2 linked regions of the Xenopus tropicalis genome follow. The protein of the gene in region 1 interacts with the protein of each later gene in a pairwise test. Links are inferred from orthologs where the notes say so. Each region holds a gene or a part of one and is shown in the gene's direction. Other genes may lie near its edges.

Region 1 (4,476 bases):
TCTATCTATCTATCTATCTATGTATGTATCTATGTATTTATCTATCTAGCTATGTATTTATCTATCTAGCTATGTATCTATCTATCTATGTATGTATCTATCTATGTATTTATCTATCTAGCTATGTATCTATCTATCTAGCTATGTATGTATCTATCTATCTGTCTATCTATGTATCTATCTATCTATGTATGTATCTATCTATGTATGTATCTATCTAGCTGTCTATCTATCTATCTATCTATCTATCTATGTATCTATCTATTTAGCTGTCTATCTATCTATCTATCTATCTATCTATCTATCTATCTATCTATCTATCTATCTATCTATCTATCTAGCTATGTATGTATCTATCTATTTAGCTGTCTATCTATCTATCTATCTATCTATCTATCTATCTATCTATCTATCTATATATCGATCTAGGGTTGGACTGGGCCAGAAAAAAAACTCAGTGGTCCCTGGCCCTCATGGGCCCCTACCAGCCCCCCACTGCCCTCCCCCAATTGCGGGGGAAGTATGAGGTAAGTGGGGGGAGGCGCTGGCGGTGAGTGGGCAGTTGGGGCCCCTGGAGTAACAGGAGACGGGGCAATGGGGATATTGGGAGCCCAATCTGAAATCCAGGCCTGTTTGAACCACTTGCCTTTCTTTCTGCCCCTTTGCCAAATTGCAATATAAAAATCAATCTTGTTGTTGGAAGGGACGGGGTCACTGACCCTGGCAACCAAAACACTGCCATTCTGTGAGGTCACAATTGTCAGACTTTTTTTATCACCATATTCCAGTACATCCCTCAAACCGCTGGCTTATAGGTAAATTGGCCCCTAGCAACCAGCTTGCTGCTAAAATGCAAAACAGCATTGAACAAAAAAAGCTTCATTCTTATAAAAAAGCGCAAAACATATCTCAGAATATTACTGTTACTTCATTCTAAACGTCCCTTTGAATAGCAATCTATCTGGAAGGTATCTGAGCCGGTTACGGAGCAGCTACCGTCTGTCAGTAATACGTTTTAATCCTTCGGACGATCGCTAATTCTATTACGCGTTACACACCTACAAGGCAGCCAATCAGCGCCCCCTATTAGAAGGCAGCCAATCAGCAACCCATGTTACAAGGCAGCCAATCAGCAACCCCTGTTACAAGGCAGCCAATCAGCAACCCCTGTTACAAGGCAGCCAATCAGCAACCCCTATTACAAGCCACTGCCACGCCCTCCCTCCACCGTCCTCCTGTTGTCCAATCAGTTGTACGGCCCGACCTCTAACTCATATACGTCACGCCGCCGGCCCCTCCTTCCACAAGTCAGAGAGGGGGCGTGTTCAGTACTTGGTGACCGCGTCCTACCTGACCGTCACAAGGCCGGAAATCGTCCAGCCAATGAAAACGCGCAGGAAATGGGAAGAAGCGCACGGCCACGCCCTTTCCTACTGTGCGTGTGGAACCGTGCGCGTCCCCGCGGTGGGGGATTGGAGCGCGTACACACAGAGCAAGCGGAGGAGCTTGGAACATGGGGGAGAGGGCGGGAACCCGGTGAGTATTTGACTCTGTGAGGGGGAACTTATATACTGCGCCTTTCCCTGTATGTCTCTGTGTGTATGTGTCGCCTTGCCATTCACCCTGCTCACTGTCTGCCTGCCTAGTAGCCTCTATATACTGTGTATGTTACCCACACACTGACTGGTATACGGGCACTGTATATACTGTGTGTATAGGTACTGTTACCCACACACTGACTGGTATACGGGCACTGTATATACTGTGTGTATAGGTACTGTTACCCACACACTGACTGGTATACGGGCACTGTATATACTGTGTGTATAGGTACTGTTACCCACACACTGACTGGTATACGGGCACTGTATATACTGTGTATCGGTACTGTTACCCACACACTGACTGGTATACGGGCACTGTATATACTGTGTGTATCGGTACTGTTACCCACACACTGACTGGTATACGGGCACTGTATATACTGTGTATCGGTACTGTTACCCACACACTGACTGGTATACGGGCACTGTATATACTGTGTGTATCGGTACTGTTACCCACACACTGACTGGTATACGGGCACTGTATATACTGTGTATAGGTACTGTTACCCACACACTGACTGGTATACGGGCACTGTATATACTGTGTATCGGTACTGTTACCCACACACTGACTGGTATACGGGCACTGTATATACTGTGTATAGGTACTGTTACCCACACACTGACTGGTATACGGGCACTGTATATACTGTGTGTATAGGTACTGTTACCCACACACTGACTGGTATACGGGCACTGTATATACTGTGTATCGGTACTGTTACCCACACACTGACTGGTATACGGGCACTGTATATACTGTGTGTATCGGTACTGTTACCCACACACTGACTGGTATACGGGCACTGTATATACTGTGTATCGGTACTGTTACCCACACACTGACTGGTATACGGGCACTGTATATACTGTGTGTATCGGTACTGTTACCCACACACTGACTGGTATACGGGCACTGTATATACTGTGTATAGGTACTGTTACCCACACACTGACTGGTATACGGGCACTGTATATACTGTGTATCGGTACTGTTACCCACACACTGACTGGTATACGGGCACTGTATATACTGTGTATAGGTACTGTTACCCACACACTGACTGGTATACGGGCACTGTATATACTGTGTATCGGTACTGTTACCCACACACTGACTGGTATACGGGCACTGTATATACTGTGTGTATCGGTACTGTTACCCACACACTGACTGGTATACGGGCACTGTATATACTGTGTATCGGTACTGTTACCCACACACTGACTGGTATACGGGCACTGTATATACTGTGTATAGGTACTGTTACCCACACACTGACTGGTATACGGGCACTGTATATACTGTGTGTATAGGTACTGTTACCCACACACTGACTGGTATACGGGCACTGTATATACTGTGTATCGGTACTGTTACCCACACACTGACTGGTATACGGGCACTGTATATACTGTGTATCGGTACTGTTACCCACACACTGACTGGTATACGGGCACTGTATATACTGTGTATCGGTACTGTTACCCACACACTGACTGGTATACGGGCACTGTATATACTGTGTGTATCGGTACTGTTACCCACACACTGACTGGTATACGGGCACTGTATATACTGTGTGTATCGGTACTGTTACCCACACACTGACTGGTATACGGGCACTGTATATACTGTGTGTATCGGTACTGTTACCCACACACTGACTGGTATACGGGCACTGTATATACTGTGTATAGGTACTGTTACCCACACACTGACTGGTATACGGGCACTGTATATACTGTGTGTATAGGTACTGTTACCCACACACTGACTGGTATACGGGCACTGTATATACTGTGTATAGGTACTTTTACCCACACACTGACTGGTATACGGGCACTGTATATACTGTGTGTATCGGTACTGTTACCCACACACTGACTGGTATACGGGCACTGTATATACTGTGTATCGGTACTGTTACCCACACACTGACTGGTATACGGGCACTGTATATACTGTGTATAGGTACTGTTACCCACACACTGACTGGTATACGGGCACTGTATATACTGTGTGTATAGGTACTGTTACCCACACGCTGACTGGTATACGGGCACTGTATATACTGTGTGTATAGGTACTGTTACCCACACGCTGACTGGTATACGGGCACTGTATATACTGTGTGTATAGGTACTGTTACCCACACGCTGACTGGTATACGGGCACTGTATATACTGTGTGTATAGGTACTGTTACCCACACGCTGACTGGTATACGGGCACTGTATATACTGTGTGTATAGGTACTGTTACCCACACGCTGACTGGTATACGGGCACTGTATATACTGTGTATAGGTACTGTTACCCACACACTGACTGGTATACGGGCACTGTATATACTGTGTATAGGTACTGTTACCCACACACTGACTGGTATACGGGCACTGTATATACTGTGTGTATCGGTACTGTTACCCACACACTGACTGGTATACGGGCACTGTATATACTGTGTGTATCGGTACTGTTACCCACACACTGACTGGTATACGGGCACTGTATATACTGTGTGTATCGGTACTGTTACCCACACACTGACTGGTATACGGGCACTGTATATACTGTGTGTATCTGTACTGTTACCCACACACTGACTGGTATACGGGCACTGTATATACTGTGTATAGGTACTGTTACCCACACACTGACTGGTATACGGGCACTGTATATACTGTGTGTATAGGTACTGTTACCCACACACTGACTGGTATACGGGCACTGTATATACTGTGTGTATAGGTACTGTTACCCACACACTGACTGGTATACGGGCACTGTATATACGGTGTATAGGTACTGTTACCCACACACTGACTGGTATACGGGCACTGTATATACTGTGTATTAGTACTGTT
Region 2 (4,313 bases), on another chromosome or scaffold:
GTTAAAATTACCTGTGCAGTACTCTGGCAAGGTCCTACCGCTGCTGTGACAAACTTAACGTACATTATCATATATCCACTGTTTTGATCCAGAGGAGGGAAAAAACCCCAACCTGAAGCTGGTGCCAATTATGCCTCACGAGGGAAAAAATTCCTTCCTGACTCCCATGGCGATGTGAAACATTCCCTGGATCAAGTGATCGTAATTAATGAAATAATACAATGCTGACTCTCAAATTTATACTGTATAAAGATACAGAAACCACACTATAACAATGCATTCAGGAAAACATCCACATTCTGTTATTAAAAGATAATATTAGAACATAAAGAAGAAAACTCCTGCCAATTTTGCAAAATATGCTAAATATGCAAAATGAAGGTGGGTGGGAGGTTTCTACCTGCTCAGAAGAAAAGGAACTGAGTGCTACTTCCTCTGACATCACATCCCTCTCTTCTCCACCCCCCAGGCCAGCTTTCTCCTGTTTTAATTCTTTTCTTCTCACCTAATCACAGTTGTACCTGATTCTTCTAAACATAAACCAGTGTAATCTGGCCACTGGTTATTCAGATCCCTTGTCATGCAGCCCCTGCGCTTTTATCTACAGGACTTTCCTTTCTAATGATCTTCATAGGTAGAAAAATCTACACTGAACCCTGCCTCAAGAAAGAGGAAAAAAAAAGAAAGACTGGTAAGTTTAATGTAAACAATCTGGTGTAACCAACTCTTACCTGTTGATTGTTCTGGATTCCATGTATCTCACCTAACAAATACACTTTGGGGGAGATTTTTTTTTTAATTTTAGATTAAAGTTTGCAAACTTGTAAACTCAAAAAATTATAGGTATTCGAGTTTTTTATTCAAACAAGTTTTCCTAATTAATAAATAAGCGAGCATTTGATATGCAAGTTTGTATTTGATTTAGAAAAAAAAACGAATTTGAATTCACAAACTTAAAAATTGATAAATAAGCCCATTTATGTGAGTGTTTCAAGCAGGCAACAATCAATAAGCCTTTCAGGTTTTAATTTTTTACCAAACACATTGAAGTCTATTTTTGTGATCTATATACACACAGAGTGTATTCCTCAAGGCTAATAAATCAGATGAGGAGGAGAGGCGTGCCCAGCAGTTGATTTGGAGGATAAAGCACAATGCTCCTTTCCATGTAAGTACAGCTGCTGGTCACTGAATGGAACTTACTGAACTCTACAGTACCGACTGCTGCTGCTGCTGCTCTGTCTGCTACATCTGCTGCATCATCTTACTGCAAATGATAAACCTATAGTGCAGGGGGAGGACAGCTTGTAGAGGTAAGGATTTGTTCTCACATCCATCTGTGAATTTTGTTTAAACATATCTTATGCTACACAGCTATCATCAAAATGTCATACAATAACTGAAATCTCTTACACGTTGTCTGGGTGTTTCCTAAAGCTATTAAAAAGTAAGTCATAATTTCTTTCCCACAGTTGTATTTCTGCCATAAAACTATATACAAGTTTTGAGGCGTGTAATTGTCTGAGCATAACCTTAACTCCTTCATTTTAGTGGGTTGTGTGCCAGTTTTTTTTTATAAGGAGAGGTGTGGATGAATAAAAGTAGTTATATAATTGTGGTGATGTTTGGATGTCTGTATCACCAAAATTGTCTTTATGACATGATTAGTAAGGGACATTTTTTAAATAGTTTAGTGATTGAATATGCAAAAACGCTGTGGCTAGAATACTGATATAAGTCCCACAATCTTTTTTACATGGCTTAGAAACCTGCTTACTGTGACTTTAGCTTGTGCTCTGAGTATAAACCAAATCTAGATCACAGAACCCCCAGACAGATTTTGGATTGTAGACTGGGATTTGTTCTGGGACGTTATTAATAACTTATTGGTCAGTGTCAATACAGAAAAATAATGTAAAAACAAAGACACCATATACAAAAAGAAGTTATCTGTTGGACAAATGTAAGCCATTAGTTCTCAAACTCTTTGGAAACCACTGCAACAAGGGGCTGATTTATTAAAGTTCAAATTGCCTTTGAGTTTTATTTTTCAAAAAGGTGATGTAAATAAAAAATTATGACTTCCATTGTGATTAAGACATGGCAATAAGATGCAGCACAACGTTTCAGAATTAGATTTGCCATACGTAGGAGGATTGTAATCTCTAAATTAGAAGATATCCTATCTCTTCCTTTTCTCTCAGATATGACAATTTATATGTTAACCATGGGTGATGGGAAGAACAACTCTTAGCTCTCTAAAGGGGTTATGTAATAAAAGGCACTACATTTGCCCAGGTGCAGTAACCCTTAGCAACCAATCAGCAGGTAGAATTTTACTAAGCAAACATCTTATCAGTTGCTATGGGTTACTGCTACTTGGTAAAATTAGTGCTTTTCATTACATTGCAAAGCTACAGTATGACTCCTGGCATCTGTCCCATTGGCAGAGATGGTGAGGGGGCATTGGCAGCAGTAACACTGCACCACAAAAGTGGTCTGTTCGCTTTTTTATATGTTTTTGCCATTATCTATAGAAAATAGCAAATAGCAGGGCGCATCCTAGTGTTTTTGGATATAAATTAATTAATTGTGATACAGTGTTAAGCAAAGGGGTTTGTAATTTCGGATTTGTACATGCGGTAAAGATTAAGGTTGAAAACTGATGTTAATTAAAATGCAATTTAATGGTTCCCCATGAGTCATTTACTGACTTTATTACCCCAGCATGTTCATTTGGCCCCATGAAAACGGATACTCCGTTGTTGTGTCAAATTCTGTAGGATAAGACAACATGTTCCAAACTGTCACTGACACTAATCAGACCTCAAGCACTTCATAGAACGTTTAATGGAAGAGCTCTGTTACTGTGCATAGCATTTATATCAGAGTGTGGGGTTATCATACAGCAGCAGCATTCCGTACAATGTGCAATCGGAACACACACTTTGGCAGCACATGCCTTGAGCTCTCAGCCAGAACAATGTGCAATTGGAACACACACTTTGGCAGCACATGCCTTGAGCTCTCAGCCAGAACAATGTGCAAAGTTACAGTTAATGTGGTTTGTGTCATGTTATTCTGTTTATTTTTGGCTTGTAAAAAAAGTCTCTGCCTTCTGTAATGTTTTCCCAAATGGCAGTGTGACATTTTTGGGGGATAAATGTTGGATTAATATTCAGCGCTTTATCCTTTCCCATTACACCACACATTTATTATTTCTTTACACTTTTTTCTTTAATAGTAAATCAGTACACTCTCCAACTGGAAGAAATCTCCATTATCCATGTAACTATCATATTTCCTTCATATTATCAACATACAGTATATAGTTATCATATATTTATACAGATATGGGACCATTTTATTGACAAGTGGTCTTTCCATAACTTGGATCTCCATACCTTGTCTACTAAAAAATAACCCTGATAGGATCGTTTTGCATCCAGTAAAGATTAATCAATAATTAGTTAATCATTAATTAATAAATTATTAATTAGTTGGGATCAAGTACAAGGTGCTGTTTTATTATTACAGAGAAAAGTAAAATCATTTGAATTTTAATAAAATAGAGTCTATGGGAATTACCCTTCTCTAATTCTTTGTGTAATGGGTTTACGGATTATGGATCCTATACCTGTACTAATCTATTTATCAACTTGCAAATATGTGTATAAAATTTGGGTCAACCAACTCCCCATCAGTTAAAGATTATGGGATAAGATAATCAGCCTATGAGCAGGAACCTCTACCTCTTACATGGACCAGTATTTGTGAATAGTATGTATGTTTAATGTAAACACCCTTATATTGTACAGCACTACAGAATATGTTGGTTATGTTGCTTTATAATAAATATAATTATGGGGGGGGGGGTAATATAAAAACATGTGCACAGCTTTCCTCTAGTTTTAATAACCCATAAAATATGTTTGCTTTGGAACAGCAGACCAGTAAATGCTACTTGCTTATTGGTTGCTATTGTTATTTGACCTGGAAGAAACTATATTTGTTGTTACATTACCCCATATCTATATTGCTCATGCACCTAGTACATAAATATAACAAATACTATGACTCACAAATACTATATAGATTTGTGAGTCATGTAACACAAATAACATCACAAGCACCAATTCTAACTGGTGACATCACTAAGCACTGTTAAAGTATAATTTAATAATAATATAATAGTAAAAATTAATACAAAAAATAATAATAAATAAATAAATAAAATGAATTTGTTTCTATACTGGAAAAATGAAAGCACATTTTACTTAAAGTGAATACCAAATCTATCTGAAAAGACTTGT

The links.
Region 2: the proteins of arrb2 (region 1) and agtr1 interact in a two-hybrid assay, tested with the Homo sapiens proteins (2 studies listed by BioGRID and IntAct, with this or other methods). The link is inferred for Xenopus tropicalis from reciprocal best matches to the Homo sapiens genes ARRB2 and AGTR1.

Annotation. Positions count from the first base shown.
Region 1 is NC_030679.2:142,421,254-142,425,729, reverse strand, and holds the start of arrb2 (beta-arrestin-2), read left to right. Parts: upstream 1-1,468; 5' UTR 1,469-1,513; coding exon 1,514-1,536; intron 1,537-4,476. UniProt on the Homo sapiens protein: Functions in regulating agonist-mediated G-protein coupled receptor (GPCR) signaling by mediating both receptor desensitization and resensitization processes.
Region 2 is NC_030681.2:122,004,147-122,008,459, forward strand, and holds the start of agtr1 (type-1 angiotensin II receptor), read left to right. Parts: upstream 1-1,278; 5' UTR 1,279-1,313; intron 1,314-4,313. UniProt on the Homo sapiens protein: Receptor for angiotensin II, a vasoconstricting peptide, which acts as a key regulator of blood pressure and sodium retention by the kidney.